Alligator mississippiensis: one gene and its partner. The protein of the gene in region 2 interacts with the protein of the main gene of each other region in a pairwise test. Links are inferred from orthologs where the notes say so. Each region holds a gene or a part of one and is shown on either strand. Other genes may lie near its edges. The genes, in order: KIF9 and zinc finger and BTB domain-containing protein 8A-like.

Region 1 (12,464 bases), on a different chromosome or scaffold from region 2:
TACTTATGTCTGAACAGCTTAACAAACACCCCTGAGGGCAAAGAGGTATATCCATTTCATACGAGGAAATTTCTTTTTCAATATACTTCTTAGACTGGAAGATTCTCACCATGCCACCAGACTAATGATACTCACCAGCTAACACAGAGAGTGGCTTGTGAGGCCACCTGCAGAAGATGAAACACGCTCATGACTACTGTTTGTATATTAGTATTTAAACACAGATTGAATGCTAGTGAAAGAGTGACAGCCCCGGAGCATGAAGCGCTTTCTTTATCCGAAGAAAAGGGACAGTTCAGAGAGCAGATCTGTAACTTTTCACAGTATCTTGTCAATGGGCTTCTACCTGAACCTGAAGGTTATAAACACATGTGCTCTGTTTCTTCAGCTGCAGCAAGAATCCCGGCAGAAGTAGGGTGACGGGACAGTTCCAAGTGCAAGCTCTAAAAAGAAAGAGAGAGAGAGAAAAGCTTTGGAGCAAGTGCTATTTTCATTATTGTAATAAAGTTCATTATTCATTGTTAGAAGAAAGAGAGTCCTTTCGTGGTTCTTCACCATTGTCACATGAGAGAAAAGTCACGGCTGTAAGAAAGGGGCATTCAGCCTCTATGGCCCACTCAGCCCTTGGCCTTTCTGCTGTCACTGCTGACTGGGATGCCAATTTGCATCGCTGTTTTTATGACGTGGGCACCACAGAACTGAGATCCATCAAGGTCGTTCCATACAAGACACCCAATAGTCTCCCAGGGTTAGGAACAGTGATTCCTTCAGAGAGGTTTTTACTGAGCAGCCTAGAAACGAAAGGCCCCATAGCCCACAGCCTCCAAACCTCCAGCCAACCGTGGATTTTTCAGATGGTATCTGTGGGGGAATCACAGACATTTACACATGAGGATTTTTCCAGCTATTTGAGTTGGTCTAATAAAAGATATCAGATTTACCCAAAGAACCTTGTCTGCCTATGTCCTTAGACCAACACGGCTACAACTTAAACCCCACACAGGCGTTTACTTATTTTTATTGAAGCGTTAAACATAAAATTACATGTATAATAGGCACGTGAGCTGAAACGCCCCTAGCTACTCCAACAACTAAGGCAACAGGAAGAAATGCCTAGATGAGATTATTAGCAAGGTCTCCCTTCACCCTTCACCAACAGCATCTCACCAGCACCCTACAAGAAGCAAGCACTAAACAACCAGCTTCACAATACACAGCCAACAATAAAAGGGGACAAGGAAGCCGTAGCTCTCACCGGAGTGAATGCCATGCTTCTCTGGTGGGGCTAGAGAAATCACAGGTAATAATCATCATGCTACCAGTGGAATACTGGCAAATGTTTGCACTTGCAGCAAATCTTTGCTCTCAAATCTATTTACAAACTACAGGCCTAATCCTGAAATCCTTACTCAGCCCTTGCTGGGGCCTGGAGAGCAACGTGAGTTTTCCTGTAAGTTCTGAGTAAAGACTAAGGATTTTGGTAATTGGAGCTATACAGCCACAGCACCGAAACACAGCTGACTCTTGCGCGGAGGGGAACTCAACATGTCACACAGCAGAGCAGGGAGAAAGGGGGTTCTTGGTTGAGGATCTCGGCTCGACAGCTCAATTTGGACAGGGCACAGGTTGGCACCAAGCTGGCCAAACACAGGGCAGAGTGGAGGAGGGTTGTTACAGCATCTAAGGTGCCCCAATGGTTGCAGCGGCCTCGGGACTGATCTGACCCAACCTGACACACCGGCACAGTTCAGGGCCAGGTAGAGCAGGCAGCAGAGTGGCTTGAGACCTTCCCACAGCAAATGGCTCAGTTTATCTACCTTGGGACAGCGAGCTGGGTCAACTCTGCTGGAAGCCGAACATGAGACAAGCAGGCTGAGAAGAATGGGATTGGACACCCAGACAGGATCATAAAGAAGTCGGGCTGGGAGGGACCTTATGAGGTCTCCTAGCCCAGCCCCTGCTCAAGGAAGGATTGTCTCTGACTCAACCAGCCCAGCCAAGGGGCTGTGCAACCTCCTGAACATTTCCAAGGATGGAGATCCCACAATTTTTCTAGGCAGCCTATTCCAGTGCCTGATCCCTCATAATCAAAAAGTTTTTTCCAATCTCAAACCTACATTTCCTCTGCTACAGCTTGAGGCCTTTGCTCCTACGGTCACAGAGGAAAGCCCATCTCCATCCTCTCTATAATCGCCCTTCAGGTATTTGAAGACTGCGATCAAATCCCTTCTTGGTCTTCTCTTCTCCAGACTAAATAACCCGAGCTCTTACATCCTTTCCTCCTAAGTCCAGGCCCCTGATCATTGTTGTCACCCTGCATTGGACTCTTTCCAACCTGTCCACATCCTCCTTGAAGTGTGGGGCCCAAAACTGGACACAGCGTGCCATCCAGGTGAGTGAGTGGAGGAATCACTTCCCTTGACTTGCAGGTGACACTCCTGTTAATATAACACAGGATGCTGTTGGTTTTTTCAGCAATAAGAAAGCACTGCTGGCTCATACTCAGCTTATGGTCCACTGTAACTCCCATGTCCTTCTCTGCAGCACTGCAGCCGAGCCAGTCATTCCCCTGTCTATATTTGCACACACTTTGTTGAACCTCATTTCACTGATTGTGGACCACTGAGTCATTCTGGATCCTGCCCTTCAGAGTATCTGCAACCACACCCAAATGCTATCTGCAAACTTGTCAAAGATGTCCTATTGGCTTTCAAACTCAATATATCTCCTCTCAGACTACAGTCTGCCAAATTAGGATATCAAAACCATGGCTTTGATCCCGCAGTTTGAAGGAATCCGGGCATTTTTGCATCGCTTTTCTGTCCCAACCACTCCAACGTTCAGAGCAAGCGCAGGTTTCCCAAAGGGACAGTGCTGCCATCTTCACCGTGAGCAACATGAGATGGGGACAGCGTTGGATGTGAAAAAAGAAACGAGTGGCAGCGCAGCCCTGTGGGTGGAAGTGATGCAGACAACACGGGATACCTGGGACGTAGGGATGAAGGGGAGCGAGGCTGAGAAGTACGGATGGAGAGAGCAGCAATGAGCAGTGATAAAAGTGATGCGGGGGCCGGGGAGGCAAGACTGAGGAGGAAAGGCTGGAGGACCCAGGGGTGGGATTTAGACCGAGGCGGGATTTGATCACAGTCTTCAACTGTCTGATGGAAACGGAGAAGACAGAGACAGAGAAGATGGAGACAGGCTGTTCTCTGTGACCGCAGGGGACAGGATGAGGAGCAATGGCTTCAAGCTGCAGCAGGGGAAACTGAAGCTGGAGATGAGCAGGAACGTCCTGACTCCGAGGGTGGTCCTGGTGCCCGTCCTCAGAGGTTTCCGGGAGTAGGTTGGAGATGCCGTGGCTGGGCTGGGTGACGGTCGCCGCGTTCGTCCGAAGCCGAGCAGAAGGCCGGGGGAGTCGGCGCTGTCCGGACGAAGCCGAGCAGGGAGAGCGCAGACGGCCAGATACGCGGGAACCCAGAAGTGCTCCTGCCCCGACCAGGGAGACGCCACCACGCCGGGGCCCAGCAAAGCAGGGGCGAGGGGGCTGCAGGGCCAGGCCACAGGCGGGGGCTCACCCCGGAGCAGAGGCCTGTGGAGCCTTGAGACCCCTTGCAGGGGGATGAGGTCACATGACAAATGTACTCTGTCCAAGTTTGCAGATGACACAAAGCTATGGGGAGAAGTGGACACACCGGAGGGCAGGGAACAGCTGCAGGCAGACCTGGATAGGCTGGACAAGTGGGCAGAAAACAACAGGATGCAGTTCAACAAGGAGAAATGCAAAGTGCTGCACCTAGGGAGGAAAAATGTCCAGCACACCTACAGCCTAGGAAATGACCTGCTGGGTGGCACAGAGGTGGAAAGGGGTCTCAGAGTCCTAGTGGACTCCAAGATGAACATGAGCCGGCAGTGTGACGAAGCCATCAGAAAAGCCAATGGCACTTTATCGTGCATCAGCAGATGCATGACGAATAGGTCCAGGGAGGTGATACTTCCCCTCTATCGGGCGCTGGTCAGACCGCAGTTGGAGTACTGCGTGCAATTCTGGGCGCCGCACTTCAAGAGGGATGCGGATAACCTGGAGAGGGTCCAGAGAAGGAACACTCGTATGGTTAAGGGCTTGCAGGCCAAGCCCTACGAGGAGAGACTAGAGAAACTGGACCTTTTCAGCCTCCGCAAGAGAAGGTTGAGAGGCGACCTTGTGGCTGCCTATAAGTTCATCACGGGGGCACAGAAGGGAATTGGTGAGGATTTATTCACCAAGGCGCCCCCGGGGGTTACAAGAAACAATGGCCACAAGCTAGCAGAGAGCAGATTTAGATTGGACATTAGGAAGAACTTCTTCACAGTTCGAGTGGCCAAGGTCTGGAACGGGCTCCCAAGGGAGGTGGTGCTCTCCCCTACCCTGGGGGTCTTCAAGAGGAGGTTAGATGAGTATCTAGCTGGGGTCATCTAGACCCAGCACTCTTTCCTGCTTATGCAGGGGGTTGGACTCAATGACCTATTGAGGTCCCTTCCGACCCTAACATCTATGAATCTATGAATCTATGGCATCACGATGGGGGGTAAAAACAGGGTGCGGGGATAACGTCATGCTGACGTGTGCCATAGGGTGAAAGGGGGTGCAGGGAGGATGTCATGATGTCTGGCATGGGGTGAAAGAGGGTGCAGGGATCACATCATGATGACATGTGGCATGGGGTGAAAGGGGGTGTGTGGGGATGATGTCATGATGTGTAGCATGGGGTGAAAGGGGGCGCAGGAATGATGTCATGGTGACGTGCGGCATGGGGTGAAATGGGGTGTAGGGATGACGTCGTGATGACGCGTGGCACGGGATGAAATGGGGGCATGGGGGATGACGTCACGATGACGCCTGGCATGGGGTGAACTGGGAGGAATGGGGGTGACGTCGTGATGACGTGACACGGGGGGCAGGGGGCGCGTTACCCGCTCCTCCGTCGCTCCCTCCGCGCCGCGACCGCCAGGGACAGGTCGGGGGGGAGGGGCGGGGTGTGTACAGCGTTCCCATGGCTCCCGCTACTTCCGCCCAGGACCGGAAGTACTCGTCGGAACGCGGAAGTGAGGTCCGGCCCCTTCCGGCCGGCGCTGGCGCTGGCGCTAGCGCAAGGGGGCGGGGTCGCGGCGCTCGGCTACGGCGGCCGGGCGGGGACAGTGCGCGGCGAGGCGAAGCGCGGCGCGGCTGGGCGAGGCTAGACGAGGCGGCTGCCGGCCGGCGGGCGCGGGACGATGCTGGAGGCGGCGGCGGCCGAGGCCGAGCTGGACGCCGAGGACCTGGTGCACTTCTCGGTCGGGGACCTGCCCAGCCGCGGCTACGGCGTCATGGGCGAGATCCGGCGGCAGGGCAAGCTCTGTGACGTCACCCTCAAGGTGCGGGGGGGAGGGGTGGGGGCCATGAGGTAGGGGAGGGGTGCTGGGGTGTGTGCTGGGTGGGGGATGGAGGGGCAGTGGGGCGGGCGGGGGAGGGGTGCTGGGGTGTGTGCTGGGTGGGGGGTGCGGGATGGAGGGGCAGAGGGGTGCTGGGGTGTGTGCTGGGTGTGGGGGTGCAGGATGGAGGGGCAGTGGGGCGGGCGGGGGAGGGGTGCTGGGGTGTGTGCTGGGTGGGGGGTGCGGGATGGAGGGGCAGTGGGGCTGGGGGCCATTGGGACGTGGGGGAGGGTGCGGTGCGGTGTGGGGAGCGCGGCTGGCCCATGCGGTGCTGCAGCCGCAAGCCCCAGCTGCCCAGGGCGAGGGCATCGGCTGCCTGGAGCCCCTCCCAGCCAAGGCAGAGCGAGGGTGGGGGTGACATGACCCGGCCCGGCCCTTCTCTGGTTGAGCATTTGCCCCGTTGCCAGCCCCCGGGCGCCAGGCACGAGCCTCGCGGACTCCAGGGACGTCTTCAGCCCTCGGCCGCGTGGTCCTCCCTCCCTCCAGCCGGAGCCGCTTGACCCAGCACTTGCCGGTGGCAAAGGCGCGCGTTTCGGTAGCTGTTGTGTGTGTGCGTACATGCGCGTGTCGTGCTGGTGGTTACGGTGCAGAAATACTGGCCGCGGCGTAGGAACCGGATGACAGGCTAGCGCAGCGTGGACGGTTCGACGCCCGAGCTATGGCAGGCTTCGGACAGGGAGGATGTCGCTGCTGGGCTGGAAGCGTTCGTCGCGTTCCTCGCAGGCTGCGCGAGGAGTTCGCATCTCCCAGACGTTTTTACGTCACACAATCAGCAGCTGCCGTTGACGCGCCGATGTTGTCGGCGAAGCATCCGAGGCCTGGATGATCTGGGCAGTCATGCTGCTGCCTCCTCCTTGCTGTAGGCCTGCCGTTGGTAGGGCAGAGATTTGCACCGCGTCTTCTGGACGTTCACCTTAATGTGGAGAGACAGGAGTAGGAACCCATTATCTTTTAAGAGCATTATAGTCCCTGCCTTAAAGAGACTATAAGCCAGTGTTTGTAAAGCCTGGATAGGGCTTGCCGTGCTGTGTCATGCAAGTGATCCCATTATGATGCCTGTGGGAGCAGCTGGTGCCTCGGCAGGAGGTGCGGGAGTCTCTGTAGTTGGTAATTACAGACCTGGAGTTAATGGGCACAGGCGTTTGGTGGACACCTATGGTGCTGCTCTCACGCTTAAGGTGTGCAGACTGGTCACTCGGTCGTACGAATCACATCTCGAATTCAGCACTGATACGTTCCTCGGGCGACACAAATGGAGTTCATCCATCCACTTCCCACTGCGTAAGACAAGGGTTGTGTAAATAGCCCTTGTGTTCTTCACTCCAAGTATTGTGGGCGATTTGTATGTAAATGGAGACTATATGGGAATATTCAAGCCTTAAATGAAGAGTATATGGGGATATTCAAGCTGCACCAAATAGGATTCATTTCAGTTGCCCTCAGGATCTTCCTGAGAGAGTGTGTGTTTTGTCTGGGTGGTGACCGTGGGCACGCAGACACGGCACTTCATAACAGGCGGGCAATTAGCTCAGACTGGGGCGCTAATAATGCCAAGGCTGCAAGTTCGATCCCCGTATGGGGCACAAGGTATTTCCTGCCTCAGAAATCAGCGGTTCTCAACCTTTTCTCTACCAGGGGCCGTTTGTAAACCTCGCTGGCCACTGCCGACCCAGTGCCCCTCGCTCCCACCCTGCTGTCCCAAGGCCCCAGCCCTCCAGTGTGTGGGGCATGGGGGGCCCCAAGCCTGCAGCTCTGCCAGCTTGTAAGGAGAAAAACATGGGAAACCGTGGCTTTTCCCTTTAAAGGATAATCTTTTTAAAGTTTGATCCATTTTTTTCCAAGCTTGTTCCCGACCCTTTCATATATTCTTGCAATCCACTTTTGGGTTGAGAAACGCTGGACTAGATGACCCCTAGCGGTTTCCTCCCAGCCGTACTTCTCTGTGACTTCTACGACCCGGTTCCTCCAAATAAACTGCCCCAAAAAGAGACGTTTGGAAACTATTGGATGATTCATGTTTTCGCCGAAAAATACTTCTTTGTCGAAATGGAGACTTTCCCTGGAAACGTTTTCCATTAGATTGGAGATGCATTTTGTAGGATGGAAATTCTGGTCAGGCCAAAACAGGCCAGAGTGGTCGGTCTAGTCCAGCGGGTAGGGCAGTCGCCTGGATGTCAGCCCCAGGTTCAAGTAGCCCCGAGCTTTGGGTGTAGGTTTGCCACGTCAGGGGTGAATGCTTTGGTTGTTGGTTCTTCTGGGAGGTGCCTCTCTCCCTGTTTTCAAGATCTGCGTCTCGGGAGGACAGGCGGGGAGATCTTTGTTCTTCTGTACAACAGCAGCATTTTTAGCATCTCAGTTATTTTTGAGGGGGGATATCCATGTTGTTTCCAGCAAGCATGGTGTTGTAGGAAGAGAAATCACAAAAATCTACCAGCTCATTTGGCTTTTGGCTGGCAGAGGACTGAATGGCCCTTTCAAAAATCAATTTTGAGGCATGTTTCTGCAGGAGGGGCTGAGTTTGAAGTACTTTGGCCTGTGAAGTAGCTGTTCTGTAGATTAAGGAGGCTAAGGCCCCCGTGTCTGTATTGCCTCCCTGGTGAGTCTTAGACCACTGCTGGGAAATGAGCCCTGTTCTTGTCTCTTCCCCGCTCTCTGACATGAGGGAGCCTGGGACGGGTGCTGGGGTGTGCATTCAGGACCCCCCAGGCTGACTGTGCTGCCTAATTGCTAGGTCTGCACGCACAGCTGGAGCAAGCGAGTTGGGCTTGTCTCATGGTGGTGCCGGGCTCAGCAGGGAGGCCGGAGACTGTTTATCAGCCCAGCTCCCCTCGGTAGCACTCTTTTCTCTGAGAATAAATTAATCACGATCATGAAGTGTCCTCCTTCTCTGCCACTTCCACCTGCTGACAGCTGCCTCTTTCAGCGTTGGCTCGCACAGTCCTTGCCAGCTGAGCTGACATTGTTGACGGTCTCCAGCCAAGCCTTTTTTTCCCCTCTTTCCTTCAGTACAGGATGCCTTCTCCAGGCTCTTTAGTATGCATTGCAAGGTGTTGTGGAAGTCAATTTTATCAGATTAACTTTGGAAGTGTCTTTTCAGCCAGTGTAGCAGCCACTTCACTAAGCAGCTGATTTAAGAAATGGACTTTTTCCTTGACCTTGTCGAGGGCCACCCTCAGTGTGTGTTGATGAAGTTTTAAATGTTAAAATGCCTTAACCCCAAAAAGGGCTTACAAAGTGGGTTGCCTGGGAGAGGTTGTATTTGACTAAAGCTCGAGCGAAACCCCGGGAGGAACAATATAGGATGGTTTAAATCTCATTTTTCAAACAGAGGGGTCCCTGTTGGCAGCGGGGCTTAGTGCATGTTTCACGATGAAAAGGCTTGTTGCCATGTTGATTCTCCGATACGGGCTGTCCGAAGGGACGATGTGTACTCTGAAAACCCTTGTGTTCGGTGACCTGGCTTCTCTCCCTTGGCCTTGCCAGGATTAAAGCGCTGCTCTGTGTTTCACCAGAAATGGGAATGAGCACGGTTACTGAGCTATAGCAGGGTTCAGTTCAATAATAGCCCCCTCTCTAATAATGAGCAGAGTTTTAATGGTGCTAGGGGTTGAAAGCTGTAAATGATCCCGTGTGTAGGCAGGACCAACGTTGTTCAGTAGCATCAACTCTTGTCTCTGGTTTTTTCCCCCTTTGAAGCACTGGAAATGATCAAATGAAGGAGAAAGAGAAGCTGAATGAATGTAAAGGGAAGAGGACCTCTTTGGTTAACATGCCGAGTAGTTAGCCTAAAGCATGAGTATTCATTTAGGAGCATCTTAACTCCTGTGCTAAGGTTGAATTTAATCTTTATTGTCATCAGTGGGCCAGGGTTTGAATTTTAAAACACTCAGTAGGAAATGTTAAATGTTAAAAATCCTTGTGTCATCAGTAAAAGTATGGGACTGCTGTTCCTTCTCTCTCTTTCCTCTTCCCTCAATTAACTCCTGCCTGCTTTCTCCATCCCATCTTCTAAAAGCACCAGTGATTACGTAGTTGGAGGAGCCCTTAAGGCAACTCTAAAAATTAACAGAGAACATCTCCGTGAGATGAGCAGAGGCGGCGAGGATTTTACAGCTGTCAGATGTCCTTTTTGGCCATTAGCAGGGTTAGGAAAGCAGTGCTGTGCCACGCTGCATCCGTTTATTCTTTGCTCGTGTTTGAAAGAGCAACTTCGCTGTCGTGACATCTGGAACGGGATTTTAATGAAAGAAACGGAATCTGCCATCCAGGCCACATAAATGCATTAAGTGAACTGGGCATCTGCCACCCCCTCGTTCTTTAATGGAAAATTACATAGCTGAAAATAGAAATGTTTAAGTAATAGTCATAAAAAGAAGAAAACCACCTTATAAGAGTGGCAGCTTTGTGTCAGGTTTGCAGCATTTTCTTCCAGTTTGTTCTTCTTTTGGAGATTTACCATATCTGCGGTTCCAGTCGCTCCCCGGACCAGAGTGCTGTTTCAGCAGCAGATGGCAGCTTGTTTTAGATGTGATTAGAGAAAGAAGTGCTGATTTGATTGGATCTGTCAAATCTCCGATTACTCTAAGCCAGGCTTAGGGAAGTCCGTCACTGCTCCTCACGATCACCTCTCTCTGATAATAAAATTTCCAAGCCGGAAGCTGAGCTGGGTGTCTGGCATGAGCATGCAGTGCTAGGGTGTACCCACTGAGAACTGAGGCTCTTGTGTTTATGCACCGACAATTAGGGGTTACCGAGAATACAGATTCAAAAAAGCCATTCCTTATATCACGCCGTTGACTGGTTAAAAACTATGCACTGCTTTTTAAAACCAATGCAGACTTACTGCCTCTCCCAGCCCCACTTCCTTGGACAACTGAATTACTTGCTGAAATGAAGAAAAAAAATTAGGATGCCTTTAAGGAGATAAATGAAAATGAACGGAGGCTGCTTGGATGCATTCCTCAGTCCATGACTGTGCTGTTTAATTTCCCTTTCTTGGCTATAGGGCTTTATGTTTACTACAGCCAGATCTCTTCCAGTTGCCAGCATCTCCCATCGCTGTCCTCGGTCTAGGTCGCTCTGCAGTTCGCGTGGCCTTGTCTATGTTTGGAAACTTGCAGCAGTACAACAACTTAAGGCCCACTTTTGTTACCCTGGGATGAGTTCTCCAGCACGCCAGGCCTGTGTTTCTCTCCTCCAACGCTGGCGATGTTGACCACGGTTGACTTGCTGCCAGAGGGACACCATATATAAAGCAGTTGCAAAGGATGTGGAGAGGAAGCTATTTTTTTGAGTTTGTATCCAGAGGCTTTTCTGACCAAATCCTAGAATAGGCTACAACTGCCAGCTAACAGATGGTTTGCTTTGGACTATTGCAAAAATACACTTGGCACCCTATGCCTTCGTGTGTCTAGTATTTAAGAATTAGCACTCAGTTTAAACTCCTTCTCTTTTGCAGCTAAGCTGGATCAGGGGTGTCAAGCTCATCCCAGGCCCTCGGCTGGATCCAGATCTGCGGGGGGCCAGCAGCTGTTGTGGGTCTGGTGATGAAAGCCAGGGTCTGGTGCAGTGGTGAGCGTCTGGTTCATATGCAGAGTCCAACCCTTACTTGCCATCCTGCCACCAATAGCCAAGTCCAGTGAGGCTCAGGGGGCTGTGAATTTTGCAGCAGGCCTGTGGGCTGTATGTTTGATGCCTCTGGGCTGGGCCCCTGTTCCTGGCTGAGTTGGAAATGTAACAGGAAGAGTTTTTTGTGCATCTAATCATAGACTTATATGGCCTAGAAGGTATCTCTAGGGTCATCAAGTGCAACCCCCTGCCCAGATGTGGGATTTGCTGTTCCTAAGCCTTGCCCCGCGGCTGGTTTCATTGTCCTGCTGTTCTTGCAGCCAGGAGGTTTTTCCTGAGCTTTGTTCTAAAACTGCTTTGCTAAACCCATTGCCATGCGCCCTGCCCACAGAGAACTACAGTCTAGAGACACGTGACAAAGAACACCCTTTAAATTATCCGTGCTCTTCAGAGTCTTGACTGGTTCAGGGGTAACAATATAGGTGCATTTAATAACCCATACCTGAGCAAAAGCCGGTTACGGTTAGTAACCCCAGCAGCCCAGACAAAACTCTTCAATACTGTGGTTATCAGCTGCTGGGTCAGATAAGATTAAATCCTTGTTAGATGCAGAGCTGTTTCCTAGGATAAAACCTAGCAAGACTTGATTTATCTCTGGTGCACATGACCTTCCCATTTCTGGGTAGAAACTGTATAAAGCAGGTTTTATGGGCTTGCCTTTACTGTAAGAAATCATGCCTTCCTAGAGGCAGATCTCTGCATTGCTGAGCACAATCTTCTTTGCAGCTCTGGCAGACATGGCCACATAGTTGGCTTATGGGCTGTTCGTTTGGAAGGAGGAAACGTGGTCTAATAATGAAAGCGGGGGACTGGGAGCCAGTAGCATCGGGTTCTGGTTTCAGCTCCACCACTGATTTGCTTTACTGGTGATGATCTTGATTGCTTACACAGGGGGTGTCAAAGCACTCTCCTGCAGGCCGGATCTGACCCACGGAGCCATGTCATATGGCCGGTGGAGCTGTTAGAGGGGCTAGGAATTCAAGGGAGGCCTCGTCACTGAAATGCAGGGCACAGAGCCCCTTTACTGGTGTGTGTCATGAGTGTGAAGGGCAAGTGAAGACTGGATTAACCCCCTCCACTGCCGCCTCTGGATCCAGCCTTGCAGGGACCCCCGCAGTTCAGATCTGTCCCAGGGTGCAGGGCAAATTTGACACCCCTGGCTTGCTGCATGGTGAGCTGTGGACTTAGAAATGCTGTCGCTGTAGAGACCTTGGCCAGCTCGCACAATCGCGCTGTGCTCCAGTGTTTCCTATCTGTAACAAGGACACAATCAGATCCTGGCCGCTTATGTCACGGAGGGGTTGCATCGTCCCCAAAGTTATTTGTGGCTTCTCAGATGAGAAATTCAGTCCCCATGCTAAGAATGGCTCATTGGAAAAAACAGCTAT
Region 2 (11,937 bases):
GTGCAGGACTGAAGAAACCATTTCTTCAGTTTATCCAGGTCATTCTGAATCCTGCCCTTACCTTCCAGAGTACCTGCAAATCCATACAACTTGATGTTATCTGCAAATTTGCTAAAGTGCACTCAGTGACACTGTCCAGATCATTAGTGAAGATGTTGAACAATTCCCAAGACAAGCCCCTGGGAAACCCACCTTGATACTTCTTTCCAAATAGACATTGAGTCATTGATGACTACTTGTTGAACACAGTGATCCAACCAGTTGTGGATCCACCTTAAAGTGCAATTTTCTGTTGCAAAGAACTAAAAAAAAAAAACCCTATTGCAGTTATCTCATGAATCACATGGGTGTTTGCATACCTAATAACACTAATATAATTTGGCGCCCTTAAAAGGTTCTCACTGAACCCTGGTTGAGAATCACTGCTCTCATTTACACCATAGTGATAATCTGGGGGAGTGGAAGTGGGGGCAACTGGTCATTCTTCCTAGTCTTCAGTGCTACTATTACGATTTGCCAATGGCCTATGTATTTATGTGCACATAAGCAGATAGCTATGGAAAAGTTTTAAGAGTCTAAGTTTTTGTACACTGTTGAAGCCTTTTCAATATACTGTTGTTACAATTGCTAAATGAAAAATAAGGCCCCAAGAAAGGCCTACAAAGCTACCATAACAAGTAAACAAATATATGGCGTTAATTCTGATTATGACACAACATTTAAACTATAGGTCAGAACTAATGTAAAATTTTCCAGAGATTATAGATTCCACTATGCTGTATCACTCTGAAAAATCTTACTTGTCTAGTCTATTTTTTTAATAGCTATTTCTCTCACTTTGCTTCTCCATCTGTATTTTGCTCACAAGTCACCACATGCAGCTGCGGCTCCTTCACTCTGCCACATGGCATAACTGCAGCTGCTTTATATCCTCCAGCCACCCTCTCCTACTTCTCTGTTGGCATACCTCTTCTCCATTCTCCAGTGCTCCTGCTCATCTCCCCACTCCCATCTATTTTACCTCCTTCCTGAAATTGTTCTTTAAAACAAGTATTAAAAATTAGACAAAATTAAAACTTAAACTTGCTTGCAAGTCCACCTACTGACACATGGAAAAAATATTAATTTTTTCTTTTACTTTATGCACTGGCAGTATTTTGTGTACAGTCAGATTGTTTAGTCAGTTTGTTTCCTTATTTGCATGGATCTTTCACACAGTGGCAGGAAAGAGGAAAAAGTGATTTTTAAGACACAGCAAACTGGTAGACACCAGAGAAGTTCCAGAAATTATTTTTAACTCATTTGAGGGACATTCACTCATCTACAAAGGGGCCAACAAGTTCTTTATACCAGATCTGAAATACTATATTGGACTTTCTGCATCCTTTAAACAAGGGTGGAACTCACTCCTTTTCAAAAGTATTACATTTCAAGTTGCCTTATCTTTAAACCACTTAGAATACTATTCCATGTAAACTTTAAGAAAACTGGTATATTCACAGAATCATAGAAAATGAGGGTTGGAAGGGACCCCAGGAGGTCACATCTAGTCCAATCCCCTGCTCAGAACAGGACCAGCCCCAACTAGATCATCCCAGCCAAGACTTTGTCTACATTGGTCTTAAAAACCTCCCAGGATGGAGAGCCCACCACCTCTCTGGGTAACCTGTTCCAGTGCTTCACCACCTTCCTAGTAAGAAATTTCTCCCTATTCATACAAAGCAGACTAAACTTAAAATACCAGGCACCCATACCAAATTAAATTATTTTAACACATACAGATATATACACATTAAATTAAATCACGCACTCATTGTCTAAAATACATACTGTTCGAAAATGGCTACTTAGGTGATCTAGTCTGCTAAATCTTTTTCCACATGCCTCACATGGATAAGGTCGTTCTCCAGTATGGCAACGAAGATGCCGCTTTAGGTCTGCTTTTCGCTTCACCACGTGGGTGCAGAATGGACATTTGAATCTCATCCTGGGCAGGTCATCTGTTGTAAAAAAAAAAAAAAAGTATTTTATATATCTGAAAGAGTCATATATACAATATTGTGACCAATTCTAGAAAGAAACACATTTCTACTGTAACAGTTATGCAAATTAAGAAAAACAAAAAAGCCAGCAGAGCTACAAGTCATTTTTCTTTAGAAGAAATAGTATCGCCTATCTTTTCACTTTCACAGAATGTCAGAGTCCTTGCACATTAAATTAAAAGGAGCTCAGTAAAAGAAAAAGCAACTGATCATCACCTATGCTGAAACTGCTAAGATTCAAAATTGAAAATATTGACTGAACTGCCAAGATGAAGCTTACTGTATTTTGAATAGATAGAAATCTATCTATCTATCTATCTATCTATCTATCTATCCATCCCTAAAAAAAAAAAATAATAAAAAATATAAAGTTAGGCATATTTTCCAGTCATTAGTTCAGAGTATTATATCAATTCTCCATTGAAACTTTGGTAGAAATAGAAGAGAGAGATACAAATAGCTAATTCGTACCATCAGCCCAGCCTCCCATTACACCTAAAATTGAGGGTATGTTGGCATATTGCTCGTCTGCTTTTGAAGACTTTGACTTGCTAGAAGAACGGGGCGATTCATGCTCTTGCTGCGACACAGCTAAACTCCTTGGCAGCACATCAGATCCTTGACCATACTGGTACCCAACATGGGGAGATTCAACTTCTGCTTCAATTTGAACTTGCTCTTCAGATGGAGACATGTGGCTTGTAGGCTCTGAAGCTCGGTCTTCGAGCTTACTCGATTTATAGTGGGGAATGTCAGAAGACTGTTGCAGTCCTAGGTGTCTGGGCTTTTTAATGGAATCCTGCCTTTGGTCATGTTTGGCCAGTTGCTGCTGTGTACTTCGAGAAGATGGATAGTAGGTGAAACTGCTCCATGTATTTCCACCCATCATACAAGACCCTTGCTCTGGACTTAGGTGAGAATGAGGGGGGCTGCTTTCCGCCCTCCAGCCAGCACCATACAAGCAGGAGCGCTCCACACCATTTGAATTTACATCTTTGTCTGACAGGCTGAAATAGCGATCCTTCTCTTTCTCACTGATGTCCAATGATGACTTAATGAATGTCTTACAAACACTAATAACATCAGTCATCTGAAGATAGCTGGCAGCTGACATGACTTCAATGACATTTTGACCAGTGAGAGACAGTTTGCCTGAATAAACAAAATCTAGAATAACGGTAAAAGTGTCAGGAGAAAATGCCTGGAAGGTAGCAGTTGTTGGCTGACTAGTCTCCTTTGAGCTCTGGGAAAGGAGCATCTTGAAATAGCCGCTACTGGCAAACAGCACATTTCGATGTGCTTTGAAAACCTTCCCCTCAACCAGGATATTGCAGTCGCAGAACAGGTCTTGCCTGCGTTGCTCATTGAGTTGCTCCAGGAGATGAAACTGGTGGGAAGAAATCTCCATCCCAAAGCGATAAATGGGAAGTGCGGCTCTAAAAACAGAGAACAACAACAATCTTGACTTGGACACTGTTGTAGACGGAAACAAAAGCTGCTAAACCCAGGTTCAAAAACTAAGGTCCTTTAAAAAAAAAATATACATGGGACACAGCATATACCATCTGTTTTGAAAGGAAGAGACAACTTGCAACAGTGTAGCGGTAGAAGAGGAAGAAACATGTCAGTAAATACTACATCTTAGCCCAACTTAAGGTACTGCAGAAAGCTCTCCCGTGTCTATACTAACCACACAGTTATCCAATAAAAGATGTCGCCCCCCAGCACGTGTGTGCTGCACCATCAGGGCCCCCTCCCTGCTACCACAACACCGCCCAGTCCCTGTCTAAAAGCCCAAAGGACTCGGTGCCGACTCTACACCGCCCTTGAAACTCAGCACGGAGGAGGAACCAGGCCCGCAGCAGTTATGGACACCATGGAGCAAGAGCCTGTGTTGCGAGCTAACGTTACCTGGCTGCCTTGGTCCAGCCATGGGCGCACACATCTTCAGAGGGACCGAGGAGCGACCAGGGAAGGAGACAGCGGCAGGAGCCCGAGCGGCAGCGGGGCCGCCCCCTCCCCGCGCCATTGGCGGAGGCCGCCGTCACTCACCCGCACGCCCAGTCCGGAGCGGCCCTGCAGCCCCGGGAGCCAGGGACGCCCGACGGCGCTAGACACGCCCGCCGACAGCGCCGAGCAGCCGCTCGCTCCCAGCCGCAGCCCCCGCGCCGCCCGCCCGCCCTCCCGCCATCGCCTCCGCCCCCGCCCGCCATCGCCATCGCCGGGCACGGAGCCCGACACGGGCTGCAGGGCGGCCCCCGGGCGCCTCGGGACACGAGCCCGGCAGCGCCCGCCCGCCCCAGGCTGCAGCGCGGGGCCCCATTGTGCGGCTCCCCAGTGCCCCGCGCAGCCCAGCCCGGCCCGGCCCGCCTCCCTCCTTCCCTCGCTCGCTCGCTCGCTCCCTCCCGCCGCCCGGACCCGCTCCGCTCAGCCCTTTGTTGCCTCCTCCCGGCTCCTTGCAGCCGCGCCCGGGGCTGCAAATGGCGCCCGCTCCGCTCCCGTCCGCTCCGCTCCGCTCCGCGCCGCTCGGGCTGGGCTGATGCTCGTCTCCGCGCAGCGCCGGCTCGGGGCGTCGGCGGGCAGCGCCCAGCCCCGCCGCCAGCCCCTGGCGCCCCGGGGCCGCCCCAGCGCCGCGCCAGCCCCGCGCCCAGTCCGGCCTGGCGGCGGGCTGCGGAGCCGCCACTCACCGCTCGGCTTCGGCGGGCTGCGCCGCTCGCTCGCTGGCTCGCCGGTCGCCGCTCGGCCGGGGGGGGCAGCGGGACGCGCGTGCGGATCCCAGGCCCCGCTCGGGCTCGCCGTCGCCTTCACGGCCCGTCCCGCAGCCCCAAGCCGCGGAAGCCCGAGCGGGAGAGAAACAAAAGGTATTTGCTGACGTGGGCGTTGGACAGAGACGCCCGAGGGCTGGGGACACAATTAAAGGGGCAACGCACCGATTGCAGGCGCAGCCCAGCAGCTTCCTCCGCCGGAGCTCGCCCGCAGCCCGGCTGCTTTCCTCTTCCCACGCCCACATGCTCCCCACGAGGGAACGCGACGCCCTAGATGCCTATTTCCACACCTTTTTGTGTAACGGGGGCCTTAATGACCCAGATCCTTCTTTCATCCGTCCATAGGTTCCTCAGATGGGATTTACTACTCCTGTCTTTCTTCGTATTCTTTTTTCTCCCTAAATAAGCCATAGTGCCTCAGAGTCTTCTTTCTAACCCCCTCATCTTCTCCCGTTTAAGTTCTGTTGTCTCATGTTCTACTTCTGTTCCCATCATGGCCCTTAATAGGGCTTTGATGCGCCATTTTTTTTCTCAGCAGTTTGTTCTCCGAGGAACCATCATCCTGCCTGTATCTTGCAAGGACGAGGGATATTCAGTTTCTTATTTTTCATCCCAACCTGTAACCTAACAATGGTTATGCCATCCCACTTCCATACCTTACACACAGATGAGAAAATAATAGTTTTTCTCTATTATTTTGAAGTTCCGTGGACATGAAATGAAAGCTCCAGCTTTGAGTAAAAGAACTAGAATTTGGTTCATGTTTTATGGGAAAGCAGGATCATAGTGCACAAATGTACAATTACTGAATACTGAGTCCACAGAATGTGGTGTTTCTTTGTTTAACAAAGCACAACTTGCAATTCTTTGCATGATTATCTGTGCATACTTTTTTACTTTTTCCAGAGGGGATCAAATAAGTAGTCACTTCCTCAGAAAGCCTTGGAGGAAAGCACAGCCCTCCTCCTGTTTCTGCTAAAGGTAGCTCAAAGTCCTTTGGATAGCCTAAAGCAGTATGTCTTAGTACTGACTTTAGTTACAGGCAGTCAAGTTACAACATTTCACACTTACAACATTTATAAATTGACACTGTTTCAACTTTCTGACCTCAGTTTCGACTTTACAAGGCTTGATCTGACACCACGCCACGCCAGCAAACAAATTTGCTCTGCCACCCATCTCCCTGGAGAACATCTGTCCAAACTTCCTTGGACACCGCCTTTAAGAAAGCAGACAAGACTCCAGAAAAACCTGCAGCCAAGACTCCTGAGCAGACTCCAGCCAAAAACCCTTCAAAAAGTCCAACCAAGAGCCCTTCAACAAGTCCAGCAAAGTCACCTCAAAGAAGTCCTTCCAAATCAATATGATTGCTATTTATACTAGAAATACATTAATGTAGCTATATTACTCATCTATAATTGATTGAGTACAACATTCTGAGTTATTTTTGGTGAAATAGGGAATCAGGCCTTGGTTCAGGAACCAATCCCCAATTTGTAACATTGTTTCCTATGGGAAAATTGGTTCCAAGTTACAATGTTTCAACTAAAGGCAACGTTTTCAGGAACCAATTGTGTTGTAAGTCCGAGGACTGCCTGTACTTTTACAGGGTGCATCTACACATGCACTTTACTGTGGAGTCGACTAATTAGCTCTGCAGTAAAGTGTCACAGTCTACACATGCTCCGGTATTAGGGCACAGTAAATGAATTAACTCTGCCATAGTCTGGTATTGTTGGGGGAAGTCCTATCCTTCAGTGGAGTAATTACATGCACTGAAGTGTACATGTAGACAGTGACAAGGGCTGGCTGGGGCATGAGGGTGCTAAAGTGCAGGGGGCTGCCTGCCACCTAGCTCCACTCTTTAGCACCCTTGTGCCCCAGCTATCCCCAACACTGCCACCTCCTGGAGCCCAGAGCTGACTACCCCCTCCCCCCCGGGCCTCTTGCCAGCCAAGGGTTGCTCTGCCACAGCTCAAAGTGCTGCAGACCCTGGAACACATACAGATGCTGTGCCCAGGAGCAGTTTTCTCCAGCATGCTGTGCCAGAATTTATCATGTTACATTCTTTGCACACGTAGATGCACCTACAGTGTCAGTACCACATCATTCAGGATAAAAACCCTCTGAGTTTCTGTCTTCGGGTTTGACCACTTGAGCACCAAACTGTACAGGAACAGGAGAACTTAGTGTCATCACACTTGCCAGGGTTCAGAGTTGTAGCACAAGTAGCATCCCTCCATAGGTAAAAACAGCTTCTTAACTATTGAAGATTTGGAATACATTTCTCCATTCCTTTCTCCATTGGCTCCTGTTAAATTGGCTTAAAGGGCTGTTCTTCATAATCCCCACACTTTCATACTGAGTAAGGATATTAGACCTCAGGTTTATTATAAACATGCAGAGAAACCATAGAGGATGACACTCAGATTGCTATTTCCTGCCTTGGCTACCTACCATTAGCCTGTACTCCATGCTTGTGGCTCTACTGCGCTCGAGGAAACCCTTAATATTGAGAACTGCCTATGTCCTCTATACCCTCCAGAGGAAGGTTGACTGTTTACTTGAGTTTACCAGATCTCAGGCAGGATAGCAACCCCCCATTCCTACTGTTCAACAACAGGTTCACACTGTAAGGAAGCACAGTCTTCATAAACTTGACTTCCTCCTGCTGCATTATTGTCATTGTCACCCAAAGAAATTGTAGTAGCATCTTTGTAAACAAATGCTTCTGAAATGATGACAGAACAGTTCAGGAGTTTTTTAAAGTTGTTTTCTGAGAACACTAGAATCTCTGCTGAAAGTTGTGGGGGGGGGGAATTATAAGCTTCTACAGATATTATATATTTCTCTGCCAGAGAGAAAAGAAATGCCAGTTAACTAAATTGTTTTAGAATTCTCTCTTGTAAGAAAGAGAGACTGTAAGAAACAACACCCACTGTATCTGTTGCTTTGAGGAGATACTAATCCAGTTCTCAGCATTTTAATTCTTTTATGTGCACCCTGTACCTGCTTTTCCACTTGTAGTCTACTAAATAAAGCTCCATTTCTCACTGCAAAGAAGGAGAGTAAATAACTACAGTCAGATTCCAAATGAGGATCTTGACAATTAAAAGTTCTTCTTTCCAAATAGGACTCCTCCTGTGACATAAGGTTTTGGCATTCCTGGACAAAGTACTACAAAAATGAGAGGCCGTTCATTTCAAGAATCTCATTTTAGCATGTTCTGTGGCAGTAGCTGCTATAAAAATGAGAGATTCATTTTTGTTTCTGAGTTAAATAGCGCTCCCCCTTTACAGGGGAAATATTCAGTATTATTTTGAATGTCATGTGGAATATGAGAGGATTGTCATCTATGACACATTACATATTCTTAACATCTCATGACATTTTAACTTGTTGGGTTTGCAGCCTCCTCAGATGAAAAGAATGGTATAGTCGATCTCAATCAAGGCAACCCTCATAATCTTCTATTGAGCATGCCAGGCCATCTGAAACACAAAGGCTGTAGCTATCTGCAACAGCCAGAACCACCACTGTGCAGCCATTGCCATCCAGCAGATATCAGGTTAGATGGTTCTGTTAAGAGCTGTTCCAGGTCAACCACCATGGATTTTTTGTTGTTGTTTGTTTCTTATTCCTTTCAGACTATCATATTTTTGGAAGATTGAAACAATGTCATCTGGACTCACTGTTCTATTCAGTTCCAATCTGCTTCTTCCCTAAACATTTGCTTTCCCCATCCCTTTTCAGGGACCCATCACACAAAGATCCTACCACAAGAAGTTATCATTCTGTTGTTTCCCACAGCCATATAATTCAGGAGAAAGAGCTTTCATCATTCTCTACCTCAGTCTTCAAAGAGAAAGAAGATGAAGAACTGCTTTGGATTTAGATTAAAGTACATTCAGTTGACACCACAAGTTTAGGAATGCCATCCCTATCCTGAGTAATCCATTCCCCAGATTTACAAAATTGGTTCACACCTCTTGAACTTCAAGATGCACATCCACATCATGGATTTCAGTCCAAGAAGTTCATAGGAGATTTTGTAGTGGCAATACAAAACATGTTTGATAAAGAGTTCTTCCATTAAACTCATGAACAGTCCCAAAGGTGTTTGTGAAACATGTAGCAGTTGTTGTGGTGTCCTTCACAACAGGACACTGGAGTTTACCTTTCCTCAGTGATAGGATGATTCTGGGTATGGCTTCTCAACAAGTTTCTTTGTTATATTTGCCAACAGTTTGCCAATGTGGGGCTCAGAATAAACAAAAAGACACCTCTGTTGAGTCCATCACGAGAAATCTTACAGGAACTCTTCTGAATTCCATCATAGCATATCTACCTTGACACAGATTTGTGATCATGACATACGCTATAACTCATTGCAGGACAACCCTCACACAGCAAGAACATGGCTGAGAGTTATGAGTATGGTTTCATGCACATTCATTACTCATGCAAGATTTGATCTGTGCAAGGCTGGCTGAAGCTTATTTACACTCCAACTCCATCCCAGTGAGGATTTTTAGATGTGTGCTTTCTTCACGGATGGAAAAATCCTTGCAAGAATGTCTTATTTGCACTTCTTCGCATTATTAACTTTGGTGGTCAAAACTGAGGAGCACCCTGAGATAATAGTTAAACTCAGGGTTTGTAATCAGATGAAGAATCTCATCTGTGCACATATTTTGGAATTCAGAGCTGTTCATCTAGTATGCCTAGCATTCTTACATTTAATCCAAGACAAGTCAATACAGGTGATGACAGAACGCTACTGCTGTGTGTTATATAAGCAGACAAGGAGGAGCCAAATCATCTCCTCTAAGTCAGGAAGCAATACAGCTGTGGGAGTGGTGCATCAAATGTGAAGTATCTGTCACTGCGCTATATAGCAGAACTAACGAACAACCTTGCAGATTGGCTACACAGACATTATTGGCTGAGCAGACTGCAAGCACAAATGGTCTATAAAGAATGACTTTTTTCAGCAAGTTTTCAGAAGCAGCATCAGCCAGGTCCAGAAGAGAACAAAAATTAAACATCTTTTGTTCAAAAGGAGCCATTCATAGGTGTCTATCAAATATCTTTCCTAACTCAATGGTTTTAAGGTTTGATGTACTTTTACCCATTGATCCCCACAACACCACATATTTTAACCAGACGTAAGGGGACGCTGCAATGATATTATTTCCACTAATTATTTAAGAATCGCTTGGCCCAGGCAATTTTGGTTCCCAGACAGGTGAAGATTGTCAATATATGCTATAGTAATGCCTTTCATTTCAATTTTAATTTCTTAAGATAAAAGACAGTTCATCCAGATCCAACATTTCTCTTCCCTTCAGCTTTAATGCTTAGTGCTTAACTGATGTGAGAGAAGTTTTGCTTCAGGGATGTCTAGAATATTTTGATTAATAGTAGGAAAGACTCTGAAAGGTCTACTTATGATGTTAAATGGAAAAAATTTACCATTTGGGCTCAACAGCATCATGTTTCACCTTTTCCAATGGATGTTCCACACATTTTAAGTTGCCTGCTCTTGCTAAAATCAACTAGACTTCCTGTTAGCTTCATAGCTCTCTTAGCTACAGCTTGCCTGTCACCCATACATTCAAAATCATGGAGTATTTTCACACTTTATATTATCTAGGAGTATTCAAAAGGTTTAGTGAATTTATTCTTTACAGTTAGAGAGCTCATTTTCTCATAGGATCTTAATACAGTATTAGTGAATTCAACAAGTTCTCTATTTGGGAAAAAATACTGATAATTACTTCAGCTCCTAGCATGGGAAAAATTCAAGCTTTAATGGTAGGTCCTTCTTATACCATTTTTCTTAAAGATAAGGACTTTCCAAGTTCTTGCCTAAAGTAATTTAATATTTTAATACTAATCAGACCATTAATTTACTTGCCCATCATCTCCAAACCTTATTATAGGGATTCTGAAAGAAAATTACAATTTTTTAAATAAAAATAGTATCCTCTGGAGACCAAACTATTTGAAGTTTTTTTAAATATATTAGTTAGTCTATAGTAGAAGAGTGAAAGGAAAGGTAATTTCTTCCCAGATAGATTTTAGTGTATGAGACCACGCTGTTGAATAGCTAAATTGTATTCCCCTGTTCAGATTAAGTCTTAATCTAGTAGATAGGTGGCTTTCTTTAGCTGAAATTCCTAGAGCTACCTCTTGGAGTTCATTCCATCCATTCATGCTTGGATGGTTACATTTGCTTAAGCAAAGTGGTTCTTCATGCATTGTTTGGGTATGATTCCACTTGGCTGTTTTCTAGCATGAAGTTACTGGGAGTCACCAAGAGCAGGATATGTAGATAACCATTCAAAAAAGAAAAAGCTTTTACTTACACTAATCACATTTTTTTAGAAGAGTTTTCAAGATATATTCTGCAACCAACCCTTCCCTGGTTTAACAGGGTCCATAGTTGTAAGGGTTTTTGCAGGCAAAGAAACTGAATAACAACTTGTCCTACTTCTCTTTTTCATGTCTTTGGGAAGGGAGAAGGGAACTCAGATTCAAGAATGGGTACACAGTGGGCACGTCTACACGTTCATTAATGCGACATTGTTATTGCGCATTAAGTTTAGTACTTCTAATACTGTGAGTAGCACCAGTGCACAGTCTTTTTTGTGCTGCTTAATGTACAGTAGACTAATTCTACTGCACATTAGCACGGCTTTTGCCATGACACATGAATGCACAATAGAATTCGTCTACTGGGCCTTAAGCGTCTTGTAGGCATGCCCAGTCTCGTGAGATCCCTGACTAGAACATACAGACAAAACAACTGAACAGTTACTCTAAAGTACAAAAGTATTACTTGCCAACCCAAGCCTGCCACTTTTTGTGTGGATGGCAGACAAAGAAAAAATCACTTTGTGTGCACTTAATACTTAACATAAGTTTCACAAACATCCCAAATATTTTATGTTTCTGAAATATGAGTTACAGGCTAATCACACACCCTGGGTTAAATTCTGTGTCAGAGTCATTAGCCAAGAGTCAAATTTACCCCAATTAATGTTTTTATTTAATAAAACACTGCAAAATTTGACCCTACGGTAAAAGGTCAAAAATAATCTGTATAATGTATCTGCCAGTGCTGA

The links.
Region 1: the proteins of zinc finger and BTB domain-containing protein 8A-like (region 2) and KIF9 interact in binary tests that used the Homo sapiens proteins (3 or more experiments, as listed by UniProt). The two-hybrid records come from large-scale screens. The link is inferred for Alligator mississippiensis from reciprocal best matches to the Homo sapiens genes ZBTB8A and KIF9.

What each region holds. Positions count from the first base shown.
Region 1 is NC_081828.1:216,968,102-216,980,565, forward strand, and holds the start of KIF9 (kinesin-like protein KIF9), read right to left. Parts: upstream 5,056-12,464; 5' UTR 4,951-5,055; intron 444-4,950; 5' UTR 347-443; intron 1-346. Other genes in the region: KLHL18 (kelch-like protein 18), read left to right, coding at 5,251-5,391. UniProt on the Homo sapiens protein: Essential for normal male fertility and for progressive motility of spermatozoa.
Region 2 is NC_081829.1:5,428,647-5,440,583, forward strand, and holds the start of zinc finger and BTB domain-containing protein 8A-like, read right to left. Parts: upstream 4,965-11,937; 5' UTR 4,730-4,964; intron 4,194-4,729; exon of another isoform or gene 3,954-4,193; intron 3,479-3,953; 5' UTR 3,451-3,478; coding exon 2,514-3,450; intron 2,001-2,513; coding exon 1,831-2,000; intron 1-1,830. UniProt on the Homo sapiens protein: May be involved in transcriptional regulation.